Linked DNA regions of Drosophila melanogaster. The protein of the gene in region 1 purifies or fractionates together with the protein of each later gene. This does not show direct contact. Each region holds a gene or a part of one and is shown in the gene's direction. Other genes may lie near its edges.

Evidence for each region.
Region 2: the proteins of IntS6 (region 1) and IntS2 purify together in Drosophila melanogaster (affinity purification with mass spectrometry, with the first as the bait; one large-scale study listed by BioGRID). This does not show direct contact.
Region 3: the proteins of IntS6 (region 1) and defl purify together in Drosophila melanogaster (affinity purification with mass spectrometry, with the first as the bait; one large-scale study listed by BioGRID). This does not show direct contact.

The regions. Positions count from the first base shown.
Region 1 is NC_004354.4:5,744,243-5,748,930, reverse strand, and holds the start of IntS6 (integrator 6), read left to right. Parts: upstream 1-1,676; 5' UTR 1,677-2,159; intron 2,160-2,555; exon of another isoform or gene 2,556-2,728; intron 2,729-4,231; exon of another isoform or gene 4,232-4,575; intron 4,576-4,688. Other genes in the region: Rtel1 (regulator of telomere elongation helicase 1), read right to left, coding at 13-1,062. UniProt on the Drosophila melanogaster protein: Component of the integrator complex, a multiprotein complex that terminates RNA polymerase II (Pol II) transcription in the promoter-proximal region of genes.
Region 2 is NC_004354.4:17,652,228-17,658,454, reverse strand, and holds IntS2 (integrator 2), read left to right. Parts: upstream 1-1,636; 5' UTR 1,637-1,856; coding exon 1,857-2,672; intron 2,673-2,996; coding exon 2,997-4,633; intron 4,634-4,699; coding exon 4,700-5,564; 3' UTR 5,565-5,694; downstream 5,695-6,227. UniProt on the Drosophila melanogaster protein: Component of the integrator complex, a multiprotein complex that terminates RNA polymerase II (Pol II) transcription in the promoter-proximal region of genes.
Region 3 is NT_037436.4:9,721,427-9,727,239, forward strand, and holds defl (deflated), read left to right. Parts: upstream 1-1,996; 5' UTR 1,997-2,115; coding exon 2,116-3,585; intron 3,586-3,642; coding exon 3,643-5,178; 3' UTR 5,179-5,280; downstream 5,281-5,813. Other genes in the region: nbs, read right to left, coding at 1-734, 792-1,613, 1,679-1,697. UniProt on the Drosophila melanogaster protein: Component of the integrator complex, a multiprotein complex that terminates RNA polymerase II (Pol II) transcription in the promoter-proximal region of genes.

The DNA.
Region 1 (4,688 bases):
AGTGCATCTTACATTCGCCTTGCCAAGCAGTTCGTACATCATGGAGGCGGGAAAGGTAGTTCCATCGACGGCGTTGTCCACAACGATGGCATCGATGGCCTTTTCGAGCTCGAGCAGCATCTCCTTGAGCAGTGTAAGGTCGTCCAGTGTGAAGTCCTTTGGCTCATCTCCAGCCATATCCTGCGACTCGCCGCTCGCAAAGACTTGCATGATATGCGTGACGTCCTCGATGGCCATGGCCACATCAGAGGACTTAATCTGCACCGAAGCGGACTCCTCGCAGATCTTCTCGATGTTGTGGGCCTCATCCAGGATCACAATAGTGTTGCCCAGTTCGATTTTGTTGGCCTTGCGAGCCTTGGGATCGAGTAGATAATTGTAGGGCATGAAGGTGATATCCGCCTGGGGAACCAACTCCCGAGACGCGAAGTAGGGACAGATCTTGAGTCGCTGGCCCACCTTGACCAGGTCCTCAATGTCCATGATGGTGGGTCCGCGCAAATCGGGATGATCCTTTCGCGACTCAACGCGCATTTGAAATGAACAGGTCTTGGAGTGCACCCGTAGCTTGCACATGTTGGTCTTGTTGGAGTTGCCCTGCTCCCGCATGACCTCCGGATGAATGCATAGCTGATCGCGGGAGCCCAGAACCACGGATCTCATGTTAGCGTACGCTGTCCTCTTGAGTTCCCGCATCGCCTGCGTCAATTGGGAGTGGGTGCGCGAGGCGTAGATGACCTTGGGCACGCCCCAGTTATTCGCACGACCCATGGTCTTGGCCAGCTCGGACAGGTCTCCCCCAGGTGCTCCGCCTCCAAGACCCGAAAAATCTGCCTTCTCCATCTTAACCATCTGCTTTTGGTGCTCCGATTGCCTGGTGCGGATCCAGGCCAAGGATGAGCACAGCAAGCTTAGGGTCTTGCCCGTGCCGGTTGGCGATTCCAGGACTCCATTCGTGCCATCGCGGAGACAATGGATCACCTTCTCCATGTACGCCCGTTGAACCGGGTACGGCTCGAACGGAAAGTGCACCGGAATGCCGGCGATCAGGCTCTCCGGCATTATTCTTAATAATACTATTTATTTACTTGTTTACGCGCCAAATCGGAGTGAACATGTGTTCGTTGGTCGATAACAATAAATGTCTGTGTAGGTGGTCAGTTATCGCTATCGATAGAGTACAGTGGACCCTGATTAAGTAATTTTATAGCGTTATCTTGAACTCCGAGTCAAATGTTTACAACTTGCATGTCAAACCCTGCGTAGTTTATTTTAAACGTAATAGTAGTACTAATCACCACCCAAAGTGCTGCAATCGTGTTTATGGTACCTTATGGATAATAGTAACTGAAACTTATAAACTTATTAGCATTGGAGGGAATACTGTAGTTGTGATTCTGTTTATTTGGATCAAAGATTAACGATATAACATTTTAAGTGAATGTTATGGATTATACCAAACTAATGAACTAATGGCATTCAAGATTAAATGTGCAGCATACATATAAATCCCCTAACAAGGTAAGTAAATATTTGACATCAATTATTACAAACTCAGTTAATTCAACCACAAATCCATTTATCGTGACCCCTTCGCTCGGCTTTTCCGAATCGCCGCGATACGGCCCCACTGATTTGGCGCTTCTCGGCCACACCAAAAAAACACAGAACGGCATCAAATCATTCGAACTTTGAGAACGGTAGTGTTGTGTTGTTATTGCTCGGCAGCAAAGTAAAATCCGAAGAGAAGCGAGTCGAACAAGAGAAGAAGAAGCGCAGGAGTGGACGACAGCAATGCAACAACAGTGACGAGGCGCCAGTGTGCAAAAGTATGTGTGCGAGTGCGTGTAAGCAACAACTCCCCGATACAAACCTACGAGCGAGAGGGGGACGGCGATAGCGACGGTCGTTCGGTCGGTCGGTCCGACCGCTAGTCGCGTCTGTCGGTCGTTCTCGCCTATGCACCTCGGCGGCAGAGCGAAAGAGAGCGCACTCTGGCTGTGTGTGTGCGTGTGTGTTCTCGCTCTCTCGCGCGGTGGTGATAAATTTCTGTTGGCACAAAGTAAAAATATAACAGAATAAAAAATCGTGGCGCGGCATATAGAAGCTAATCGAAAATTATTGCGAGTATTGGGTGGAGGAGAAACATTCCTCTTCTTGTGAGTGCGTTTTTGTTTTAGTTATTCTTTTTTTTTTTTTTTTTGGCCGGAAACTCTCACTCGAAGATGCTGCCGGTGTAGTTGTGTATGAATGTTGTACCATTTTTTTTTTTTTTGAGATAGAAAATTTAGATCTAAAATATTAACCATGCGATCCTTAGAATCGCACTTTTAAAATATGTCCACACATTTTCAAATTCGAAAGCTTTGGCGGGCTGTCGATGGGCGGGCGCTTGCAACTCTGGCGATAACGATTACCGTGCCGATAACGCGGCTGCACTAATCAGCATTATCACATGCAAATTAAGGTCATCCAAATGAAAAATGACCACCAATCAAAGGCCCTGCACCCCTTTGCCGCCCCCCATTTATGCGAAACAACTAGAAAAAGTGTGTTTATTTCTTCACCGTTTTTCGAGCTCTGACAACCCTGCCGCTGCTGCATAAGTGAATTCCGACAAAGAGCCGTGTCATTTTGTTGGCCAAAACATCGCTGCGCCGAGATTAATTAGACGGAAAAAACTCGATTACTTGAAGTGCTCGGCCCTATATCGTTTTGGTTTAAACGTGTGTGTGAGCTTTGTGGATTGCCATCAAACACAATAGGCCGACTCGTCCCCCGCAGCCACCCGTACCATTCCAACACGTCGGAGCAGGGTTGCCAGATCAACGATAAATCACACACCGCTCGTTTAATACGAATTTTGTGTTGTTTTTACTTAAGACAAAATTTGTGAAACTTAATAGATATATTTTAATTTCCGCTCAACGTTATACCTGTCCGAAGTGGGGGTATCTGGCAACTACACCGAGCCGCGTGTGTGCGAATGTGTGTGTGCATGTCCATGTGCGCGAGTGTGCGTATGTGTTTGCGCTCTTATTCAAATAGAAATTGAATGTTTTGCACTCGAATTCAAGACAATTACGGCTCCTCCGGTAAAAACACATTTAGACTGGCTGACCTAATTTAAGGTGTAAGGATGTGGGTTACGCCTGCGATCGCCGAGTGATCGTTATCGTTATCCCGGCTTTGGTTAATCGCATTCCTCCTTCTCCTCCCCCTGGCATCGGCATCCACCACATCCCAACCCCCTTTCTCATTTTTCTCCTCCATCGCCCCTTCTTCGGCAGGCCATCTCCCTCGCTCTCCATCAGAGATGCGTAGGTCGTGCTCCCTCGCACACACACTCACGATCGTGAGCTTGGTCATTGTGTAATCGATTTACGGTTACCTTTTACCTCAACTCGAGATGGTGGGAGCAGTAATCTACTTTGTTAATAGGGGCAGCGAATATCACGCAATATAACAAAGTGTAAGGATATCGAAACTAAACACTAATTTGTGTAATGGTACACTTCAGATAGAAAATAGAGAACCATTTAAAGATCAATCTCTTTGGCACCTGCGTTATAATGACTACTTGTTACCTAGTTTAAAACTTCTACATATGAATCTAACTCATTTATTATTTTGAATATACGACAAGTACGACAATTATAAATATTATTGCTTAGTACTAGACTTCGTATTGTTTTTGGCAAAGCCAAAGCTATTCACACGCGTGTCGCCCACCTGGCTCACGTTGCCATCTCTAGGCGACGCCAGCAGAGCGTTGTAGTGGTGGCAGTGGCGTCGAGTGAATGACTCCGTAGTGGGGCATCAATAGAAAGAGAAGAAGGAACGAGTTAGATGGAGCGAGGAGGAGATGCAGAGGAGGCATAATGGCCAGTGAGTGAAGCGGAGTGGATTTGGATTTGTGTCAAAGCGATTTTCCCCAACATAAATATTTAGCTCTCTAGGACCAACGGCCGACCCCCTGGGAATTAAATTCCATTTTGTTGTTTAATTAGCACTTGCGTTATGCGACAGAGTGTGCGGTGTGTAGATAGTTTGTGAGTGATATCGTTGATTACGCAGTTGTTTCATTATCTGTATGGATTTATATTGCCGCTTCTTAATCGATTGGCCACAGTGCGTATGCGCAACCTATTGATATTTTACAACCAGTTGCGTACCTGTTTCATTATCATTTCGTTCTGTTCTGTTCTGTTTCGTTCGTTACCATTCGCAGTTCGCTGTTGTTGTTGTTTCTCCAGTCCAAATGTCAGCTGTTGCACGCAACATGTACCATAGAAGCGGAACAGCGAAACGCAGAAAAAGAGCAAATCGATCAAGCCCAGGACAAGAACAACAAGTGCAAGAGAATCGGCAGCAAAAACAACAAGCAGATAAAGAGAGCTGCTAACAACGTAAACAAAACCTAAACACCTATACACACGCAAAGGGAGATAGCAACAAATACAAAAACAACAACCACAAATAGCAAGAATATAGCAGAAAGCGAGAGAGAAGGAGAGGGAGAAAGTGCACCTGAGAGGGGAAATAAAAGATCAACGATAAAAGATAAGAGATAAAGTAAGTAAAGCTTGACTTTTTGGTTTGTTGGTCAATCGAAATTGAACCTGTACCGATAACGTTTACCAAATTTCATAACACCAAAACATTGATTTAATTGTCAAAACCAAAAC
Region 2 (6,227 bases), about 12 Mb from region 1:
GAAATGAAACTTCAACTCGTGACCTCAGAGGGCCGGGTGGGTGAGAAGAGCGGGGTGCAAGGGAAATGGGAAATGGGGAGTGTGTGTTATTTTTAGCCGATGTGTTGGTGAGCACGTAACTGTATTTCAGCCAAGTGCATAGGCGTATGCGTATCTACGGGGAAGAAAAAAGAGCGCACCGCTTGTATTTCATAAAACTCACAAGCACACGGAACCTCAACGTATGATACACATGTATATATATATATATATCTCCGATTAGGCGATAGCCGTGTTCTTCGCTTTTTATCACCAACGGAACGAACAACTGACGCAAACGTTACTTAAGGCTTGCGCTTCTTCTTCTTGCACAGCAACATGTCATTCATGCGTTTAATTCACAGCTCTAGAGTTTCGGTCCTGCCATTCAGGCACATTTACACCAAGTAATTTAAAAAATAAAAAAAAAAATGCGAACTACACTCGTCCAATTCGATTACTCGAACAAACATACACACACACTCACGCACGCTACGCGCTCTCAACGAAAACCGAATGATGTCATCATCGGTGGCAGAGACAGCGACGCCGGCAGCGACGGCGACAGCGTCGAAATATATGAGTTAGCAGGCAATTTTAATCGATGATGTTTTTATTATGTACGTAGAAATGTATGCGAGAAATCACTTGCTTTTCATATTTTAGCACACTTCTAATTCTCAAACCAAAAACACACACACAGGCACACCAAGAGTAAGAGTCGCTCACACATTCGTTAGATACTTTTTGCTCTCTTTTGCCACTTCTGCCTTTTATTGGTGGCTCCTTTTTCGTGGCCTATTCACTTGGGCGTTGGTCTATTTCACATTTTCCCCGTTCGACCGCTTGCGTTTCGAATTTCGCGCCGTTTTTACTGCACTGCGGCGACTTTCACTTACCTACTCGATAATTTTGCAGCTCCGCTCGCCCTAATTGATTCATAAAACACAGTTAATTTCATAGATTTAGCACGTTCAACTAAAAATCTTCGGTCTGGCGGATGAACTTCACTTGGCGAGAATGGAAAAAATGTATGTATTCAAAACATCGCGTTGCGAACGAGTGAACGAAGTGAACCAGCGCGAGAAGGCGCTAAAAAACGCCTACTGCGCAGTGTGGCCGTGCCACATGATCTGGCTATAAATTAGCCAAAACGGTGGAACTTAAGATTTTTATATATTATTTAACTTAAATATTCCTTCATATTTGTATAACCTAATATTACATAAACAATTGTTTACGCCACATGTACTCTATTACTTCGAGCTATTTAAATAATATTAATTAAATTTTTATCAGAACCAAAATGTTCTTATTTTCCTAAGATTTTCGTTACAGAAATGCTTATATACAAACATAACTTATTTATATTTAACTTTTTTTAATATGTTGGCTTTTTGGGAGAATATAAGCCTTATTGCTAATAATAACAGTAAAGATTTTACTAACTTAATAGTACTAATAGTTGTTAGCCTCTTGCAATAATTGTTAATATTTTTCTTTAGCTGCGCATCTCTTTGTTAACCTTCACCTATGAGAGCAGTATAGTATTTTTATAATAATAAAATAATAAAATGTAGTAATTGCTGGTATATTTGCAGCCTCTCCAACTGGCCACACTGACGTGTGTTGATTTTTTGGATGCGGATCGCAGTGGATTCTCGGATTCTCCGGCATTCCCTGCCCCAACTACAGATCGCCGAGATTAAAGCAGACCCGCGCCGGCATCTCCAGCACGGACACCCCGCCGGCCAGGCCAATAGAGCGGGACAACCGAGCACACGAGCATTGCCGGGTGCAACAAGTTGGAACGCAACGACAACGACGACGAGGACAAAATGCCGGTGAGGATGTACGATGTATCGCCGCGCGTTTTCTGCGCCATGCAGAATCTGGACATCACCCTGCTGGCCAGCTATCCGGAGGCGGAGATTCGGCCCGTGCTGCCCTCGCTGGTGCGGATGAGCCTGCTATCGCCACTGGACAACACCGAATCGTCGATGGAGTCGCGCAAAGAGATCCTGGCCGTGCTCATCGGCATCGAGGTGGTGAACAGCATCGTCTCCTACCTGCAAGTCAACTACCATGAGCTGGAGAATGAGCTGAAGAAGGAGCTGCAGGCCCGCCAGAAGTCGGCCTTCTTCGAGGGACAGCAACACGAGTACGGCCTCCAGTCGGGCATCGCACTGGGCTTTGAGCGGGCGGATGTGGCGCGCAAGGTGCGCGTGGTGCTCTCCGAGATCTTCAATCTGCAGCAGCAGGTCTCCGAGCAGAAACCGGCCGCCCATTCGGAGATGCTGGACGACGGCATCTATCTGGAGGAGGTGGTCGACATTCTGTGCATTGCTCTCGCCGAGCTGCCCTCCCTGCTGAACATACTGGAGCTAACGGACGCCCTTGTCCATGTGCCCAACGGACATCGCATCATCTGCGCACTGGTCGCCAACTTTCCGGATTGCTATCGCGACGTTGTGTCCCATGTGATCGCCAATTGCGACGAGGATGGCAGCGATGGCAAGCACCGGTTAATGCTGCTCATGGGGCTCAGCGAGATGAATCCCTCCCAGGCGCTGGCCAACAGGTCCATGTGCGTGGATATGCTGAAGGTGCCGTCGTTTATGCTTAAGCTCACGCTCAAGCATCCCGAGGATCTGGTGAGTAGGGTAATATTGACCAGTAAGGTGCAGATTTACCACAACACTATAATCGTTAGGAAATTCTTTGCATTTCATTTAAATTTAACGTACATAAGAAATGTTTTTTGATCATATTTTGTTGATTGATCTTTTTTGTTTGGAGTACCATTCATTTGGAGTTCTGCTTATTTTTGTGTAACATGTGTTAAGCAAAAGCAAAAGCGAGAAAATGTTGCTTAGCTATCTCGCTCTAATTCGCTAGAGCGATTGAATCTTATTTGGACGTATGACAATATTTACGAATAATGAGATAACAATGCAAACTTCAACCACTCCCCACAGATAGCCTTCCTCACGGGCCTGCTGCTGGGCAATGACCAGAATCTGCGCTCCTGGTTCGCCGCTTACATCCGCTCCAGCCAGAAGCGGAAGGGGGACGCACTGAATCTGGTGCGCGTGGAGCTGCTACAGAAGGTGATTCAAACGACGACCAATGCGGCGGAGCTGCGCGACTTCAATCTGCAGGGCGCGGTGCTGCTGCGTCTGTACTGTGCCCTGCGCGGCATCGGTGGCCTGAAGTTCAACGACGACGAGATCAATGCTCTGTCGCAGCTGGTCACGAGTTGTCCGCAGGCGACGCCCTCGGGCGTGAGATTTGTAACGCTGGCGCTGTGCATGCTCATCGCCTGTCCCTCGCTGGTGTCCACCATTCCACTGGAGAACAAGGCTGTGGAGTGGCTGCAGTGGCTCATACGGGAGGATGCCTTTTTCTGCAAGCGCCCCGGTACTAGCACCTCGCTGGGTGAGATGCTCCTGCTTCTGGCCATTCACTTTCACAGCAATCAGATCTCGGCCATCAGCGAGATGGTCTGCTCCACGCTGGCCATGAAGATACCCATCCGGCCGAACAGTACAAACAGAATCAAGCAGCTCTTCACACAGGACCTGTTCACGGAGCAGGTGGTGGCGCTGCATGCGGTTCGCGTACCCGTCACTCCGAATTTAAATGGCACCATACTGTGCTACCTGCCGGTGCACTGCATCCAGCAACTGCTGAAATCGAGGACATTTCTCAAGCACAAAGTGCCCATTAAGTCGTGGATCTTCAAGCAAATATGCAGTTCGGTGAGGCCAGTGCATCCTGTGATGCCGGCCCTGGTGGAGGTCTTTGTCAACACGCTGATAATACCCAATCCCACCGGAAAAGTGAATATTGATCACATGCACCGGCCCTTCACTGAGGCGGAAATTCTGCACGTGTTCCGCACATCCAAGCTCACATTCTTCGCCGAGGAGCTGCCACCGATGGCGGAAAGTCAGGAGCTCAACCAGATCGAGGTGACGTGTCCACTAACCGCCCAGCTGCTGATGATCTACTACCTCATGTTGTACGAGGATACGCGACTGATGAACCTCAGCGCTTTGGGTGGTCGCAAGCAGAAGGAGTACTCCAACAACTTCCTGGGCGGACTGCCACTGAAGTATCTGCTCCAGAAGGCGCACCACTACCACAACGACTATCTCTCGCTCTTCCATCCGCTGCTGCGTTTGATTATCTCCAACTATCCGCATCTCAGCATGGTCGATGACTGGCTGGAGGAGCACAATCTGGCCCAGGGCAATTCCACGGTGGTGGTAAGCAAGCATGAGCTCAAGCCGGAGACCCTGGATCGTGCACTGGCCGCCATCCAAACGAAACCGCATCTAGCCATCCGCGTGTTTAAGCAGCTACTCCAGATGCCCCCAGAAACGCAGGCGCAGTATGGACAACAGCTGGTGAAGCATCTGCCGATGGTGTTTGCCAAGTCGGTGCCGCGATACGTCAAGGATCTGTACAACGATATTTGGCTGCGCCTGAATGCCGTGCTGCCCACCACCCTGTGGATCATGTCGCTGCGAGCGATTACCAACGGCTCGGATACGATGGATCGACGTACCTTTGCCAACGAGAGTCTTCTGGAGCCCATGGAGGTGCTAAGGTGGGTTGCCTCGTCATTTTCGTGTGTTGTTTCCTAAAATTCTTTCGCATTCCTTTTGATCAACAGTTGTCCACGCTTCGTATTCTGTTCGCCCTATTTGCTGATGATCCTGCTGCGCATTCTGAAGGGCAGCCTAGCCGCCTCGAAGACCTATCTCAACGTGCACATGCAGATGCAGCAGAAGCAGGTGCTGGACAAGAATGGCATGATGCAGACGGATGCGATTTGGGAGGACCTAAGGACCACGCTGATTGCCTCGCAGGAGAGCGCCGCCGTGCACATTCTGCTGGAGGTGCTGGACTACATAGCCAGCAAGGCAACGGATCGGGTGTCGCATCTGGAGCTGCGTGAGATACAGGGCATCATTGGCACCTATGTGCATCAGGCATTCATTTCGGAGCCTTCGCTGGCGAAACTAGTGCACTTCCAAACGTATCCAAAGTCGGTTATTCCCATGATGGTGGCCAGTGTGCCATCGATGCACATATGCATTGATTTTGTTCACGAATTCCTCAACGTGACGGAAATGGAAAAACAGATCTTTACCATCGATCTGACCTCCCATCTGGTGCTCAACTATTCGATACCCAAGAGTCTGGGCGTCTCGAAATTCTGCCTGAATGTAATCCAGACGACGTTGTCCATGCTGACCGCATCGACCAAGTGTAGATTCCTGCGCAATGTGATGCCAGCGATGGTTCGTTTCGTGGAAACGTTTCCCATTCTGGCCGACGACTGCGTCAACATCCTGATGACCACCGGGCGCATTCTGCATTCGCAGTCATCGCTGGGCATGACCACAATGGAAATGCCACTCACCGATAGCGACAAGCTCTGCACGTATCGGGATGCCCAGCTGCACATCATCATGATCGAGGACGCGTTTAAGGCACTGGTCACGGCGGTCATGAAAAAATCGGACCTGTATTAGTTGGACTCGATCCCGCCTTGTTTTTCATAGTCGTAAGCAACCTTTCCCCACTCCGCCCCCCGGCTGATTATAATAGTGCTTGTAAAATTTATAACAACATTGACCAGAATAAATACTTATTGCAAAAACCATTTCTATATAACTAATTAATTAATTGAGTTTAAATTTGGCGCCTCAAATAAATATATAACTACGCAGCTGTTATCGGAATCTACTTTTATCGATAATATACTTTGGTTAGCGAGTACACATACCAGATATATCTATCGTTCCCGGCCATGCCACCCATACGCGTATCGGGTTATCGATAAAAACTAACAAGCATCGACATTAGTTCCAGCTCTAGTTTTTGTTGTTGTTAAATTAAAGCTCGGATGTGAATTACAATAATTGTGAGTAGCGTTCGTGCGTGCGTAATATGCGAATCGACTGGCATTCGGCATTGAGTTTTGTGTTTTGATTCCTGAATCGAGTCAGGACGTATCTGACCTGCTTTTTCAGTGTGCGTTTACGATGCTGATTCGTAATTGTCCTTTGTATACGTTGTGTACGCGCTGCTCCTCTCTCCTCTCGCTCTCCCTCTCCCGCTCTCCCTTGTCTTGAGTGTGTGCGCCTGCTGTGTGCGTGTGTGTGAGTGAGTGAGAGTTCCATGGTGGGAAAATA
Region 3 (5,813 bases), on another chromosome or scaffold:
TGTGGCCAATGATTTCCCATTGAGTCGTGGTGAAATCCTGGTGGCAACGGGTGCTTCCGTTTTCTTCTTGGCCATCGAAGGGATAGTTGGAGCTGGCGTTTCTTTTGGTTTCCGAGCATTTTCGTTCTCCTCATCCGATGAGTCAACACAAAAAACCTGTTTGGTCTTCCGTGTTATGTGCTTACTCGCAGCTGGAACAGGTGGATGTACGGATTTCTCCTCAGCGATGGCTTTGCTCTGCCTTGTTACTCGTTGAACTGGAGCAGGCGCCGGAGCTGGTGTCACATCTTCTTCCAAAGACGAGTCCAACAATATGGCATTCTTTGATTTCATGGTCAGTTTCGTAGCGATATCCGATTTAGCTCGCTTAGACAATGTTGATTTCTTCTCCTCGTCCGAGGAGTCAACTGTTGAGGCATGACTCCGCTTACGCAAAGAAGCTTGGTCCTCCGAATGGGGCTTAGAAGCATCTTGTTCCATTTCACATTCAATTGACTCAGGCACCACCAGTTCGGAAATGGGCGTGGCATTGGATTGCGCCGAGTGGCGTTCCGTGTTGGGCACAATGATCGAAGAGTTAAAGGCCATCGAGGAAGTTACAGACTCCGTGGTGGGCAATGAATCGGAGATGAACTTGTGCGTTGGGTTGCAGAATTCTGTTATAGAGCAATGTATTAGGGCCATGCCAATCTCGTACTCCTGGATAATACGTCGACCATTCTGTTCCAAAATATCTAAAAATTATAATACATAATAATACTTAAACGCTGTGATGTGAGCAATATATTTACACCTATCTTGTATACTATTGATTGATTCAGTGGCCTGCGACTGGGACGATGGCACATACTGTATGACTATCACATCACTCTTTGTTAGGAATGTTTTGCGCACACCCGAATTGATGTCCTTGCACGTGGCTCCAGCCTTCTGCACAACTGATCCGTACATATCAAAGTGTTTGCGGTTCATGAAGACGAATGTCTTGCCGGCGAAGAGACGGGTACGCTCAGGACGCCAGGTGACATCTATGTTGGTGGGCTGGTAATCCTCCGGCTGAGGCCAGCCCTCCTTGACATGGATGCTCTGCGCTGCCTGCAGCATCTTTCGCCAGTAGGGGAATGTCACAATCGGCTTATTCTCGAGCATAGCGTGCAGTAGTTTCACGGTCACCGAAACTTCGTTCATGGTTAGATGGGAGCACTCTTCGGTCCAGTTCGAAGTGACCGTGCCGCCCATGGGTTCAAGCATCTTCGTGAGCTCCTGGACCTCGGAACGCGTTAATGCGGAGACAGTTGTAACCAACTTCAGTTGGGTCACCTGCCAAATGCTCATGTTTGCGCCAAATCGCAAGCGTGTGCCCACAGGCAATGGAGTCGATGTTTTGGCAGGCACCTTGCGCGGCTTTTGGGAATTCTTGGGGAAAATGAAAGTGCCATATCTGGAGCCAAGGTCCTCGATATGCAGGGTGTCATCGCCATCCGCTTCCGTTTGGATGAGCAGCTGGGCATGATTGCGACTTATACTGAGGTCCTGCGCAACAATTAAATCCGTGGCCAGGCGACCAATGGTGTACACCTTTTTGCCAGGAAACAACACAAACTTTTCGTCATCTATAAAGAGTATTTAAAAAATGAATAAACTAATAATCTCTGTGTTTTAGACCATTTTTACGTGCCTTTAGTCAAAACAAACATAATTTCAAAACATTAACAAATTCAACAAATAGCGAGCAGTGTGACCTTAGCAGATTTGCAAATTATCTACACAGAGACAAAGAAGGAGTGAGAATAATAGGCTACATCACTTTCTACATAATTTTCTAAGTTAATAGTTGTTTCTTAAATTGATTTTTTTCTTATTTTAGAAATCAGGATAATTTTATTATCGATCGACAAACGCTTATAAAGAATTGACAATATAGACTTTGGATTCAAACGTTTTTTTTACTGTTAAGTGACCAGCTATCGCTGCAATGATACCGGAGTTTCCTACGAACGACAAATTAGCAAGAAGAAGCATTTGCAGCCGGTTTGTTTTTGTGTCGTTTGGCTAATGAAAACCTCAATAAACACGATTTATCTGCGATAAATGTGAGTGAGGAAACCTGTAACCATGTCTCACCTGACCGGCACCCGCGTGAGCACCTTCAACGAGAGCTTCCTTAACGAAAATGAGCACGACTCGAATGCGGTGCTCATGGAACTGGACAAGGGACTGCGGAGCACCAAGCAGGGAATCCAGTGCGAGGCGGTCGTCCGCTTTCCGCGCCTCTTCGAGAAGTATCCGTTTCCCATTCTCATCAACTCGTCGTTCATTAAGCTGGCCGATTACTTTGTCAGCGGATCGAATCTGCTGCGCTTCTGGGTGCTCCGTGTTTGCCAGCAGAGCGAGAATCATCTGGACAAGATCCTCAACATTGACAGCTTTGTGCGCTGTATCTTTGTGGTGATGCACTCCAACGATCCGGTGGCGCGTGCTCTCCTCCTGCGCACCTTGGGCGCCGTTTCCCGTGTGATTCCCGAGAAGCAACAGGTTCATCATGCCATTCGACGTGCTCTGGATAGCCACGATACCGTCGAGGTGGAGGCTGCCATCTATGCCAGCAGCTGCTTTGCCGCCCAGTCAAGTTCCTTTGCCATCAGCATGTGCGCCAAGATTTCGGACATGATCGAATCGCTTCAGGTGCCGGTGCCAATGAAGCTGCTCCTGATTCCCGTGTTGCGACACATGCATCACGAGGCTACCACAGCGTCACTGGTTAGCAGACTGTGCATGGATCTGCTGCCCAAATATCCAGCCCAGAGCTTTGTGGTGGCCATCATAGACACGCTCACTCAATTGTCATCACGAACGCTGGTGGGAGTGCCCGGTCAGCTGGATGTTCTGCTGGATTTCATGCAGGACTTAAGGACACCAGTACGCATACAGGTGCTGCGATCTTTCAACGAGTTGGCCGGACGTCAGAGCGTTCATGCCTGGCCCAAGCCAGCCATCAAAGCGCTCATTGATCGTTTTGAATTGTGTACCAATTCCAAGGAGCAGTTCCTCTTCCTCTCAATCCTGCTGAAGTTAAGCGAGTGCCCGCTTACTTGCCAGCAGCTGCTTCGCGAGCATCGCGTAGCCCTGCTCCGTTTGTGCATCCAGTGCATTAGCAAGCTGGACGACTACACCACCGCCACTCAGGCCATGGCAGTTTTGTCGGTTCTAGTAGCATTTGGTTTAAAAAAAAAGGGCAGCGGCGAGCAGGTGGACGATATTCTTCATATGGTCAACCTGCACATGGAAGGATTGCTCCTTTGCACGGCCAAGCGGTCGGAGTGCACCCGCGATCTCCGTAGGGTGCTGACATACGGTATAAGGATCACTAAAGCCAACGCTGAATTTGGAACATCCTTCATTGGGATCGTGACCAATAGCCTGGGAGATAAGGGTGCCTATCCGCCAGCCAATGCGGAACTTATGTGCGAGGCACTGGCGGGTCTGTGTGAGCACTTTCAGCTGCGTAAGTACGCCTTTTCCACCGCAGAAGATTTGATAGTAGACGAAAACGCGATGGACACCGATGAGTTGCCCCCGCCCAAGGTATCTAATGCATTAATACATCTATGAAACAATTTCTAATTTCTAATTTAACCACAGATAAATCCCATGCTAGCTCGTTTGCCGCTCATTCTGCACAAGCTGAACACCATTATCGACCAGGAGAATTGCGATCAACAGTTGCGCAGCGTGGAGATCCTGAGTTCTCTGGTTCTACAAACCACCATGGGCTGTTACCTGCCGCAAAAGGTTGTTCAGTGCTTTGAGAAATGCCTCGGTAGGCTTAACTGCTGGACGCTGTATAGGATTGCACGCACTGCTAGTCGCTATGGTCACCACTATGTGGCTGCTCACATTTACACCAAGGTCTCCCAGATTGTGATCAGCGATCATATGCACTATTTCCTGGTGGCACTGTCGCAGATCTCGCAGGCGGAGTGCATTCTTAACTATGGCTTGGAATACGCCTACATGCGGGACAATTATGCACCAAAGGTGGCACCGGAACCTCTAATTCCGCTGATGAAGCGCTTGGAAATGGCTAGTAATCTCTATCAGCAAGCGCTGGCCAGCCTGCGAGCTGGCTCCTCGCCCCAGCATCCGTGCACCTTTCAGTTGGAGTATCTGAAGATAAGGGCGCAGTTTCTGCAGACCCTTCACCTGGCTGTGACCGTAAAGAATGCCCAGGTGATTGTGCCGCCACCGGCAATAGCTGGAAGTTTGGCCCAGAACTCGCGCGACTATCTGCAAAAGTTTGGTCATGTCACGAACCAGCTGCGCAAGCTGGTGAAGGCACTAAAGGCCTGCGAGGAGACTTACGCTAGGCTATACAAATCCTCTTTCGATGCGGATCACGTGACGCTGGAGTTTCTGGAGGTGGCTGAATTTCAGTGCGCTCTTTTCGCCCACATCATCGAGTCGATTTGCTACGCCACGCCTCCGGAACCGCCTGTATTTCTAACCACAGGCGATCACCCGGAGACGCGCTACTTTGCCGCAAGCTGCCAGCGCATGGAGCAGATGCAAAAAAACCTGCCACAGGAGCCGGCCAATGCCAAGACCATTAGTAACCGACATTTGGATGTCATCATTGCGCAGATCGAGATCATAACAAAGACACCGCTCTGCCTGCCGCGTTACTTCTTCCAGATTCTGCAGTCCACACAGATCAAGCTATCGGTGAGTCCGCAGCCAAGGAGCGCCACCGAACCCGTGAATGTCCAGTCGGGCAGTAATCTGGTTATCAAGGTCGAGGGTGTCCTGCAGCACTTTAGCAAGCAGAAGAAACACTTCCGTCGCGTGGAGTCCGTTCAATTAAGCCTCACCTCACAGCTAATCACGCCGCCACCGCGATCCTCGCAAGAGCTGCCCAAGCAGGGCGCCAACGATACTGTGACCCTCAATCAGATTGTAAAGCCCCAGCGCGATTTCCTCTCCGGCAGCTTCCTGTTGCCCATCTCCAATGGCGGGCACTTCCAGGTGACGCTGGAAACATTCGTGGTGGACGAGAATGGCATTACCTGGTGCACTGGCCCCAAATCCTCGATGGTGGTGCGGGTGCTGGAGGATCCTAGCAAGCAGGGCGCTCCAGCGCCGAGCACTTCCCAGGCAGTGGGACAGACGAGGAGGTTTTAAACATTAAAAACGGGTTTCTATATGTCTTAAGATTAAATATTTTTAAAAATATAAATATTAGTTTAGGCATTACATCCAAAGTGGAAATATACGTTTTTCATCAAGAAATTGTGTTTTCTTAAATGTCTATTTATGTAAAATATTGATAAGCGTTAAGAAAATGTGCACCAAAAATCAGATAATAATATTTCAAAACAAAAATAAATATTAATTTCCAATCGGAGTGTTAAATGCTCTTTGAATTAGACAATGTATCGATACTATCGAAACAGGTGGGTCCACCCCCATCGCGTGGTATGTTTGAAAGCCCCGAGTGCGGTCTCACTACTGCTGATTTGTTTTCATTAATTCTTTTTGGCTTGGCGAATAAATTAGGACAAATGAGGCATCATCGCGGGCCAACTGAATTGTGACCAGCGGGCAGCAGCAGCGGCATGCGACACCGACACCATCAGCGCATCAGCACCACCTGGCCAGCGTTGTAAGGGATTCTCCCACCCTCCCCAAAGAGCCAACGATTCCACTTGAGACCCAAAAGTCCCAGTTTAAAACCAAAATCAAAATCAGCGGAGCACCCGCACACCAGCGAGAGCAAGTGGTTTCTACATGATCCGGCGACACGCTGCCCCCCTCTC